3 linked regions of the Saccharomyces cerevisiae S288C genome follow. Changing the gene in region 2 together with the main gene of any one other region gives a genetic interaction. Each region holds a gene or a part of one and is shown on either strand. Other genes may lie near its edges. The genes, in order: RDR1, GLO1 and YAR066W.

What was found.
Region 1: mutations in GLO1 (region 2) and RDR1 together harm fitness more than expected from each alone (negative genetic interaction), as found in Saccharomyces cerevisiae (one large-scale study listed by BioGRID).
Region 3: mutations in GLO1 (region 2) and YAR066W together harm fitness more than expected from each alone (negative genetic interaction), as found in Saccharomyces cerevisiae (one large-scale study listed by BioGRID).

Annotation. Positions count from the first base shown.
Region 1 is NC_001147.6:1,049,377-1,053,545, forward strand, and holds RDR1 (Rdr1p), read left to right. Parts: upstream 1-1,913; coding exon 1,914-3,554; downstream 3,555-4,169. Other genes in the region: AMF1 (Amf1p), read left to right, coding at 135-1,682. UniProt on the Saccharomyces cerevisiae protein: Transcriptional repressor of multidrug resistance genes, such as PDR5. Required for growth on non-fermentable carbon sources like lactate or glycerol.
Region 2 is NC_001145.3:261,205-264,369, forward strand, and holds GLO1 (lactoylglutathione lyase GLO1), read right to left. Parts: upstream 1,482-3,165; coding exon 501-1,481; downstream 1-500. Other genes in the region: TRM12 (tRNA(Phe) (4-demethylwyosine(37)-C(7)) aminocarboxypropyltransferase), read left to right, coding at 1-405; YML003W (uncharacterized protein), read left to right, coding at 2,279-3,151. UniProt on the Saccharomyces cerevisiae protein: Catalyzes the conversion of hemimercaptal, formed from methylglyoxal and glutathione, to S-lactoylglutathione. Can use gamma-glutamylcysteine as a substrate.
Region 3 is NC_001133.9:219,181-222,241, forward strand, and holds YAR066W (uncharacterized protein), read left to right. Parts: upstream 1-1,868; coding exon 1,869-2,480; downstream 2,481-3,061. Other genes in the region: YAR064W (uncharacterized protein), read left to right, coding at 1,018-1,317.

The sequences.
Region 1 (4,169 bases), on a different chromosome or scaffold from region 2:
TACCAAGGGAGTAGTATATCTAGCCTCCAATAACTTCATTTGTGGAAACTTACTTCTATCTCACTCTCTACCTGAAAAGAAAACAAATATTGTACATTCATCAATTGCTGGAACATAAAGAACATAAAATCAATATGTCAACTAGCTCCTCCGTAACGCAGAAAAACTTGGATACAAACGCGGAAGCCTTGAAAAAGGAGGATAAAGTATTATCAGAGTTTGATATTCAGGATGAGAGGCCTAAATCCCTTTTATGGGAGAGTGCCTTTGTCGGAGTGCTGTGCTCTGCCCAACTAATGACTCAGGCAGGACTTGGACAATCATTAGCGCCGCTTCACATCATCGGTAACAGTTTTGGAACAACGAATGCTGGACAACTTAGTTGGTTTGCTTCCGCATATTCGCTAACTGTTGGTACATTCATTTTAATTGCTGGAAGACTCGGAGATATCTTCGGACACAAGAAATTCTTTGTCCTTGGCTTCTTTTGGTACGCACTTTGGTCCTTACTTGCTGGGTTTAGCGTCTACTCTAATCAGATTTTTTTTGACTGCTGTCGTGCATTTCAAGGCATGGGTCCGGCCTTTTTGTTGCCAAATGCCATTGCGATTCTCGGACGCACATATAAGCCAGGAAGAAGAAAAAACATGGTCTTTAGTCTGTTTGGTGCTTCAGCACCTGGTGGCTTCTTCCTTGGGGCTGTTTTCTCATCCATGTTGGGTCAACTGGCGTGGTGGCCATGGGCTTACTGGATAATGGGTATTGCATGCTTTGTTTTAGCTGTAGCAGGTTACTTTGTAATCCCTCACACCCCCATGCCAAGCCGCGATGCCTCATCTTTCAAGTTGTTGGAACGAATCGATTTTGCAGGGTCAGTTACCGGCGTTGTTGGATTAATTCTCTTTAATTTCGCTTGGAACCAAGGCCCCGTTGTGGGTTGGCAAACTCCATACACATACGCTCTTTTGATAGTTGGTACCTTTTTCTTGGTTATTTTTGCATATATCGAGTCCCGAGCAGCTTTCCCTCTGCTACCATTTGCTGCTCTTTCTAGTGATACTGCTTTTGTACTTAGCTGCATAGCTGCGGGATGGGCCAGCTTTGGTATTTGGATATTCTATACATGGCAGTTCATGGAAGACTCAAGGGGCCAAACCCCCCTTCTTTCTAGTGCACAGTTTTCACCTGTAGCAATCAGTGGATTTTGTGCAGCCGTGACGACAGGTTTCCTTCTAAGCCATACACCCCCAAGCACAGTTATGCTTTTTGCGATGACAGCTTTCACAGTCGGAACTATATTGATTGCTACGGCCCCCGTTCACCAAACGTATTGGGCTCAAACGTTTGTGTCAATCATTGTTATGCCTTGGGGAATGGACATGTCCTTTCCGGCCGCTACAATAATGCTTAGTGACTCGATGCCACACGAACATCAAGGTCTTGCAGCCTCTTTGGTTAATACGGTGGTAAACTATTCGATATCGATAGGTTTGGGTATTGCAGGTACAATTGAATCTAGAGTAAATGACGGAGGTGCCAAGCCTTTGAAAGGATATCGTTGTTCGTGGTACATGGGCATCGGGTTGAGCGGACTTGGCATTTTTGTCGCAGCAACGTATGCATGGAGCACTTTTATGAAGTCTAAAAAAAGGATCTCCGAAAAGCAGCATTTTATAGAATAAGTTCATATATAGAGAAATACTTCATCGTGGTATATAACCCAAACTAATAGAAATAAATATAGTACGATCAAAGTGATAGAGAGGAGCCAGTATATCCCGTATCGTGCGATAAATATGAAAATTACAAGAGGCCATTCTCGAGTGAAAAGATACATTATTTTTTCAAGTAGAAACCTGAAAGAACTTCAGTAAGATAACTTAGCGCACACTTTCCTACTTTAAGCTCACCAAATGGCATCCCCAGGATCGACAGCATTACCACACAAGCGACAAAGAGTCCGAAAGGCTTGCGTGCCCTGTAGGGAACGTAAAAGGAAATGTAATGGCAAATCTCCATGTGAAATGTGCGTTGCCTATGGATATGTATGTCATTATATTGACGGTCGTGTCCCTTCGGCATCACCTCAAGTGCAACAAGTAGGTGAAACATCTCCTGATACGGAGAGCAGACCTTTTGTTCTTCCGGGTATACATAGAAACGAACAACCGCAGCCTATAAATACACAGAACGTTACAAGTCAAAACATTGTAGATCCAACTAAGTCTAGGTACACGATCCAGCACTCTGCAGTTGCTTTCCCCCGCTGTCTTGGTCTCGAACTCCGATCAACTAATCCTCCACGCCTACATTCCTTCGCTTGGCATTGCGGAATCAGACCGGAAGAAAATCCAAACTCACATGTCCTTCTTTCTGATTTAGTTACAAAGGAAGAGTATTACCGTATCTCAAAAGTTTATTTTTCAGTTGTTCACCCGATATTTGATGTTGTTAATCCAGAGCAACTGGCAAAGAATGTTGAAAAATACTGGGATGGCGACGTAAAAACCTTAGAGTATGGGGCTGTTATTGCAGGGGTGATAGCTTTAGGATCATTTTTTATGGGAAGTCTTGGCCATCCCCGAGAGATGGATATAGTACAATATGCCAAAGGGATCCTTGATGACCCGACTTTCAGTCGCATTCCCACGGTGGAGCAAGTCTCCGCATGGGTTTTGCGCACCATTTACCTGCGAGCCACTTCGAGGCCCCATGTAGCATGGTTAGCTAGCTGCGTAACCATCCATCTTTCTGAGGCAATTGGCCTGCATCATGAGATTGACAGAGAGGATATAGCGATATCGAACAACGTTCCACCAAAAAGAACTACTGTAGTGAGCGAACACACTAGAAGATTATTTTGGTGTGCATGGTCAATCAATACCATTCTTTCATATGACTATGGGCGCTCAAGTGTTACGCTGAATAGAATTACTTGCAAGCCAGTTAAGGAGACGGACGGTAATTTTACAGCTCATTTAGTCGCGTTAGCACACCTGATTCCCCAAGACAGCGTGAACGCAAACGCAGCGCAATTGTTGCAGGCCCTGGCGGCCGTTCATGAATCACCAAACGCACATCCGTTTTTGTCGTTGACCAAGGGTGATATATGCCTCTCTTTGTATAGAAGACTTCGTTTGCTGAATCATATTCTTGATAAAAATGTTGTTTTACAAATAATTGATATCGGCAACACTGCGCTATCAGCAGCATACGCTCTTGTAAAACTGGATCAAGCATGGTGGAATGTGTTGAGCACCTCATTCCAGTACGTCTGTGTCCTTCTTGCCATCGACACACCGGAAAGTCTTTCACATGTTGCTACTGCCATGAAAACGTTAGATAATATTACTCAAATTCTCGGTACACGTATTGCTTTTGAAGCACAAAAGACCGCAAAACTGCTTCTTGAGGATTCCATGAAAAAAAAAAGACAAGAAATTCAGCAGCTTGAGCAGGCAACTCACCAGAGATCTAATCTTGAAACTACTCACCTACTCGATATTGACTGGGATGCTTTGCTAGATCCATCAGACACGTTAAACTTTATGTAAAAGAGTATTATAGATTATGTGTATCGAGAAGCAAATTGATTTATAATTAGAGGGAATGGAATTGATGTTTAATACCTGCTTACTATATTTTATCTTTGATAATTGCGCAGAAAGTAATATATCCGGTATTTGAAAATAGGAAATTTAAAGAAATCCCGTCACGCCTGGAATGAGGGGTGAAACCTTGACTGATATTATATTCTTTTCTTGGACATAGTGTCTGAACCAAATGCAAATTGCACTGCATTGCACCAAATTGATGGTTCAAGTTCGATCTATAAAAATACGAGAGAAGGTCTGACTGTTTATGTCAATACTCAAGAGGCTCAGGAACAGTGTTAAAGCTTGGAAGTTCAATTCATTAAAGAAAAGTTGATAACGTCAGGTGGAAAACCGAAAGATAAAAATAAAAGCAAGTCAAGATTTGAAGTATTGCTGAGCGAAATTTTGTTTGAGTGGTCCGGAAATTTTTATACACTTTATTAGTATTTGGTTTAGTGTAGGTGGGAAAGCTTAGAACGTATGTAGAAAAACATCCCTGAAGAGTTCTCTAGATCTTATCATCAGCAATAAAAGAATGCCGTTGTGACACTTAAATAGTCATATCACATGCGG
Region 2 (3,165 bases):
TGCCACGTTTTCCAAGAATCAAATGAAATGTGCGTTCAAAGGCTTACTGAATTCTTATCTCAGAATCCCGGATTTCGGTTACGTATTAGGCATATTAATTTAGGTCTCCTGCCTTCAAGCAAACAAGGGTGGCCATTGGCCATCAAATTAATTTACTTACAAGGAGCTTCTTTGGAAAAAGTGACAATGCATATACATGAAAATGTACACATAGATGCAATTGAGGATGGAAGTTTCGAAAAGAATGTCATTGTAGAACTCGACGCTATTAATGAGTCAATTGCATTAATTAGAAACCGTGGCATCAAACTTCAGTTTGTGAGATCTAAGCTTGAACGCATAAAAACTTTTGCACCAGATATTTGGCATGTATGCGTTGATGTCGACGTTATAGTAAGTACTTAAATACAAAATATAAATAATAATTAGTGTATGAAAAGTCAACAAGAATGGTCATTATTGTAAAAAAAAAATACTAACCTCCTATTCATTTCAACTTTTTAGGCAATCAAACCATGAGGAACGACTTCAATGGAATAACCATCAGGATCCTTCAAAAAGGCAATATTCTTCATTCTGCCTTGGTTAAATTTAGGAGACCATTGGATCTTATCGCCGTATTTCACTTCAATTTCTTTACAAAGGGCGCCAGCGTCATCACAACTTATGCAGATGTGACCATAACCCTGGGGCTCTGAGTTACCGTTATGATAGTGGAAGTTTGGATCATTCTCAGTTCCCCAATTATGAGTTAACTCCAACACACTTTCACATGAAAAAACGCTGTCGGTCTTTGGAACGCCATAACCAAGAAAGTATAACGTAAATTTTGCACTTTCGTGCTCACTAGTTCTTAATAATTTCATGCCCAACACATTCTGGTAGAATTCTAAAGACCGGGTTGGGTTTTTAATACGAATCATGGTATGATTGAACTTGTTACCTACTGAGCCCTTTGGGTATTCCTGACCCTCTCTAGAATATGTGATCAACTCAATCCAGTATCCATCAGGGCCTAAAGCAAACGCAATGTCCTTCTGTCTTCCTTCAGAGAGTCTCTTCTTGAATTTGACACCCTGAGATTCTAGCTCTTCGCAGGTTTTATTGATATCGGATACAGAAAAACAGATGTGCCCAAATCCACGATGAGGTTCCTCATTCCCGTTGTTGATCTTGTAGTCTGGGTTTTTTTCAGTACCCCAATTGTGAGTTAGTTCTAAGACACCGTGTGCGCTAAAAACATCAGGCTCTCCATTCTTATTTTTGGGTATGTCGTCTTTTGGAAAGCTTAAAAAGTACAAGCTAAATTTTGCTTCTTCAAAATCCTTTCTGCTTAATAGCTTCATACCGAAGTGTTCGGTGTAGAACTTAACGGTCCTTGCTGGATCCTTGACTCTTAAACATGTGTGATTAAGCAGAAGGGTTGGATCATTCGAGGCTTTCTCAATCTGAATTGGATAGCGTGTACTATCAGTGGACATTGTTAGTTTGTAGCTGGTGGCGTATCTGGTCTGAAGTGTCAAAAAAAAGGCATGGAAATGTTATTCCGATTTTTTTTCTCCCTATTTATAAACGTCACTAACTAGAAATACGGGATATCAACTACTACGAGAGAGGGACATTCTAGTATCAAAGAAACTTACTATGACGCAGTTTAGGATCCCTGTGGTGACTACGTATCCAGGTCTACTACTCCATCGTAAAGCCCCTTGTTTATTCAGTGTCCAGATCATATGCGGGATGTGTATTTTGTGCTGAGTGGAAAAATAAGATCATATGCTCAAGAATAAAGGGTTAAAGGGTATGGAAATTTCAGTTCTCCCTGGCTCAAGAACATTGTCAGTATTCCTATAACTGAAGCTGAGTGGTACTAATGCACCGAGATGCAAAGTCCGAACCACCCCCACCCCCCTCTTTACCTATTTTTTATATTTTGTGATAAAGGGATAACTCGTCTTGCCTTCACTGCGCTTCGATTCTACTTTAGCTAAACTAAGCGTTACTTTGTTTGAGAATCTCTCAGCCGTTAAATCAACGTACTTGTATACTAAACAGTATATTCACGTGATAACTTTGCCTTACACCTATGATATAGATAAATATATACATATATATGAGTGTGTGTGCATTGCGTCACTAAACTATGTTTAATATGACAGAAGGTTTTCGTTTAATTTTGCCGCTACCCGAAAATTTTGGCAGTTGCAATTTATAACTAAAGGAACCACCTTATTGTAAATTCCTCAACGGAAAAGCTATGGCTTAGCTAGGGTTGACAATGTCAGTTTACCATTTACCAACGCTGTTGAACCCGCTGGTTAATGCTATATTTAACTGTCCCGAACCAGAAAGATCCCCATTGAAAAAGCTTTTCGCTAATTTAAAAACCCGTAGGTTTATCCTCCTAGCACCTCCTTCAGAATACCTTTTGAATTACCACGATGTCAAGAGCAAACTGCCGTTACATGACCTCTGTTATAATGCAGAGTTTATTAACTCTTACATATTGTTAATGACTGAAAACTCTTACATAAATACGAATTCAAGGGACAGTCATTATGAAACGTTAGATGGTAAGACCGTTGTTATTCAATGGAAGAATAATGTGATCCATGCCTTAAATGGATTTCATATAAGGCGAAGACTAAAGATTCTAGAGACAAAAATATTACCCAATTTTAATGACTACTTTGAAGGGGCGGCTGATTTTATCATACTATTCATAGATCAACCTTTAAATTGCGAATTTGTACCTAACGACTACTTACAGTGTTTTCACAATTATGAGAAAATACCAAAAAATGCACATGCTATGCCAAATCTGTCGATAGATTCTTTTCAGCAAGAAAGATCGTCATTCGAGAATATATTGCACATTCATCCTGCTCGATTAACACAGCTTGGCCAATTGTTTTCGAGTTACAGAACGCTCGCTCCTGGTGATGATCCATCTAGAAGTATTTTTGAAAGCATCGTGCAACAAGCATTTGATGGAATGAAATCGGATTCACTTTTCAAGAACTTTTCTAATCTTTACGATCTTATACACGACTATTTTGAACTAAATCTTTACGATGATATATGGTCTAGGCTTACTACACATTTCAAAGGCCACGAAGTAGACACTGAAAAAATAAATATTTTTCAGTGAACCAGTTGTTGACA
Region 3 (3,061 bases), on a different chromosome or scaffold from region 2:
AACTTCTGTAGTTTCTTCCTCAGTCATGTCTTCCTCGGTCATTTCTTCTTCTGCAACGACCTCCACTTCTATATTCTCTGAATCATCTAAATCATCCGTCATTCAAACCAGTAGTTCCACCTCTGGTTCTTCTGAGAGCGAAACAATCTTAGTGATTGCTGGCATGTCATTAGCGACAAGACGCTTATTACCGTAGTAGCCCCCCAAGGCAAACATCTCTTTATCAGTAATATCCAAAGCTGTTCAACTTCTCGAATTGGCCCAGGAAAAGAGCATTGGGGCGGCAACTAACTCTGGCATACTTACAGTTTCTGCTCTTGACAGCGCTAAAAAAGGGCTTGTTTTGTAATGCCCGGTTCGCAATTCTACAAGTACCACGCACTAGCTGCTAAAAGTGTCTAACCTTGCGAACAAATCTGGACTTTCTTATGAGAATCCCATCGTCAAGAAACAAAATTATACAGACAGGCGTAAATGTAGCTCGTAAGCGCCTGATCAAGTAAGCCAAATGCGCTAACTTGAGGAAATATAGCCATCTAAATCTCTGCAACATGCCAATTCGCACGTGACTTGAAACTATGGAAAGTGTCTAGAAGATTACCAAGAACCACGTTATTTGAGAGAGGATGGCAAGGTGACGACAATCACACCAAGACCACATTTTGGGTGCGCCTGGAAGCAAGACCTGAGAAACTGGGCCAAAATATTCAAACCAAGCATAAGATAGTTGGAGGTAGGAATACACTATCTAATCTGTGCTGATGAAATGCTGGCGAAAACGGGCGATGTAGTGGTACAGAAGGTGCCGGTTATCCGTTTGTCCGTTTTTCTTCATTTTTTTTTTGTTTTTCCCTTTTGTCTTTTGCACCGCTTATATATGGGTATGAAACAAGTTCAAGAATTTATAATGGAACCCAAAGGTTCAGTCTTTGTAGTTCGAGCGACATTGCGCGTTTCCTTAGAAAACGCTGGAAAGATATTCTTTAACGAGACGGAGTAATTCTCGTCAGGAATAGGATGTTGATTGATTTTTGCTGTAGTTATATAGCAGGGACCCACGGAAGAGAGCGAGCGCCTTCTTTCACAGGGACTTTTGTCAGCCACGTCTCCGGGGAAAACAATTGCCGTCCGCGTCGCAGTGAGATTACGCAGCCGTGCGCTTCAGGGACAGAAAAGAAGCATTTCGCGGCTACGGAGAAACCGTGCACTAACTCTCTCGAGGGTAGCCGCAAAGATTTCTTGTCTCTTCCATTAGGACATAGCTATCTTTTTCTTTTCTGTTTTTGGCGTATGATCTGTTCTGAGCCAAAGTTATAGATCATTGCTTGAATAAGCACCTCACAGAGTAGGGATTGTATAGAAAGTAGCTGAGCGTCTGCCCACGTAACAAACAATCTTGCCCCTTCCCCGCTCTTGTTTTCGCGTGCCTCTTCTACAATAATCTGGCCAGGCTGAATCGCGTTCTGCTGCTGCTGCTGCTATTGTTATTGTTGTTGTTGTTGTTTTGGCCAATTGCTTATGTGTTGGTCTGCAAATTAGCACCTCGTTCCCTGTTGGCAAACGCGCGCGTACAAGCCTTACAGGGCTTGAGAATGTTCTTCGTAGAAATGCATGCACAAAAATTCTGATCTAGCACACCATCGGTCTCTGTAGCTTCGGGCTCTATAGCTATGGGTTAGGAGTCCGTGAGTAGTAACAAGAAGAAGTATATAAAAAGCAGGTAAATCGTACTTCAATATGCTTCATTGTCACTGGATCGTCATATTCACTCTTGTTCTCATAATAGCAGTCCAAGTTTTCATCTTTGCAAGCTTTACTATTTCTTTCTTTTTATTGGTAAACTCTCGCCCATTACAAAAAAAAAAGAGATGTTCAATCGTTTTAACAAATTCCAAGCTGCTGTCGCTTTGGCCCTACTCTCTCGCGGCGCTCTCGGTGACTCTTACACCAATAGCACCTCCTCCGCAGACTTGAGTTCTATCACTTCCGTCTCGTCAGCTAGTGCAAGTGCCACCGCTTCCGACTCACTTTCTTCCAGTGACGGTACCGTTTATTTGCCATCCACAACAATTAGCGGTGATCTCACAGTTACTGGTAAAGTAATTGCAACCGAGGCCGTGGAAGTCGCTGCCGGTGGTAAGTTGACTTTACTTGACGGTGAAAAATACGTCTTCTCATCTGATCTAAAAGTTCACGGTGATTTGGTTGTCGAAAAGTCTGAAGCAAGCTACGAAGGTACCGCGTTCGACGTTTCTGGTGAGACTTTTGAAGTTTCCGGTAACTTCAGTGCTGAAGAAACTGGCGCTGTCTCCGCATCTATCTATTCATTCACACCTAGCTCGTTCAAGAGCAGCGGTGACATTTCTTTGAGTTTGTCAAAGGCCAAGAAGGGTGAAGTCACCTTTTCTCCATACTCTAACGCTGGTACCTTTTCTTTGTCAAATGCTATTCTCAACGGTGGTTCTGTTTCCGGTTTGTAACGTAGAGACGACGATGAAGGCTCTGTAAATAACGGTGAAATCAACCTAGACAATGGAAGTACCTATGTTATCGTTGAACCAGTTTCTGGAAACGGTACAATCAACATCGTCTCTGGTAACCTATACTTGCACTACCCTGACACCTTTACTGGCCAAACTGTTGTATTCAAGGGTGAAGGTGTTCTTGCCGTTGACCCAACCGAAACCAACGCCACTCCTATTCCTGTTGTTGGCTACACCGGTAAGAACCAAATTGCCATTACCGCCGACATCACTGCTCTTTCTTACGACGGTACTACTGGTGTCTTAACTGCAACCCAAGGTAACAGACAATTCTCTTTTGAAATTGGTACTGGATTCTCTAGTTCTGGCTTCAGTGTCTCCGAAGGAATCTTCGCAGGCGCCTACTCATATTACCTAAACTATGACGGTGTCATCGCTACAAGCGCCGCATCCACATCCGCATCCACTACCTCTGGTGTTGTCTCTACTGCCACTGGTTCAGTCACTTTATCCTCTAACGCTTCTACCACCGTCTCTTCTACGATCTCTTCTAGCGCCCCAGACTCAATAATTCCTTC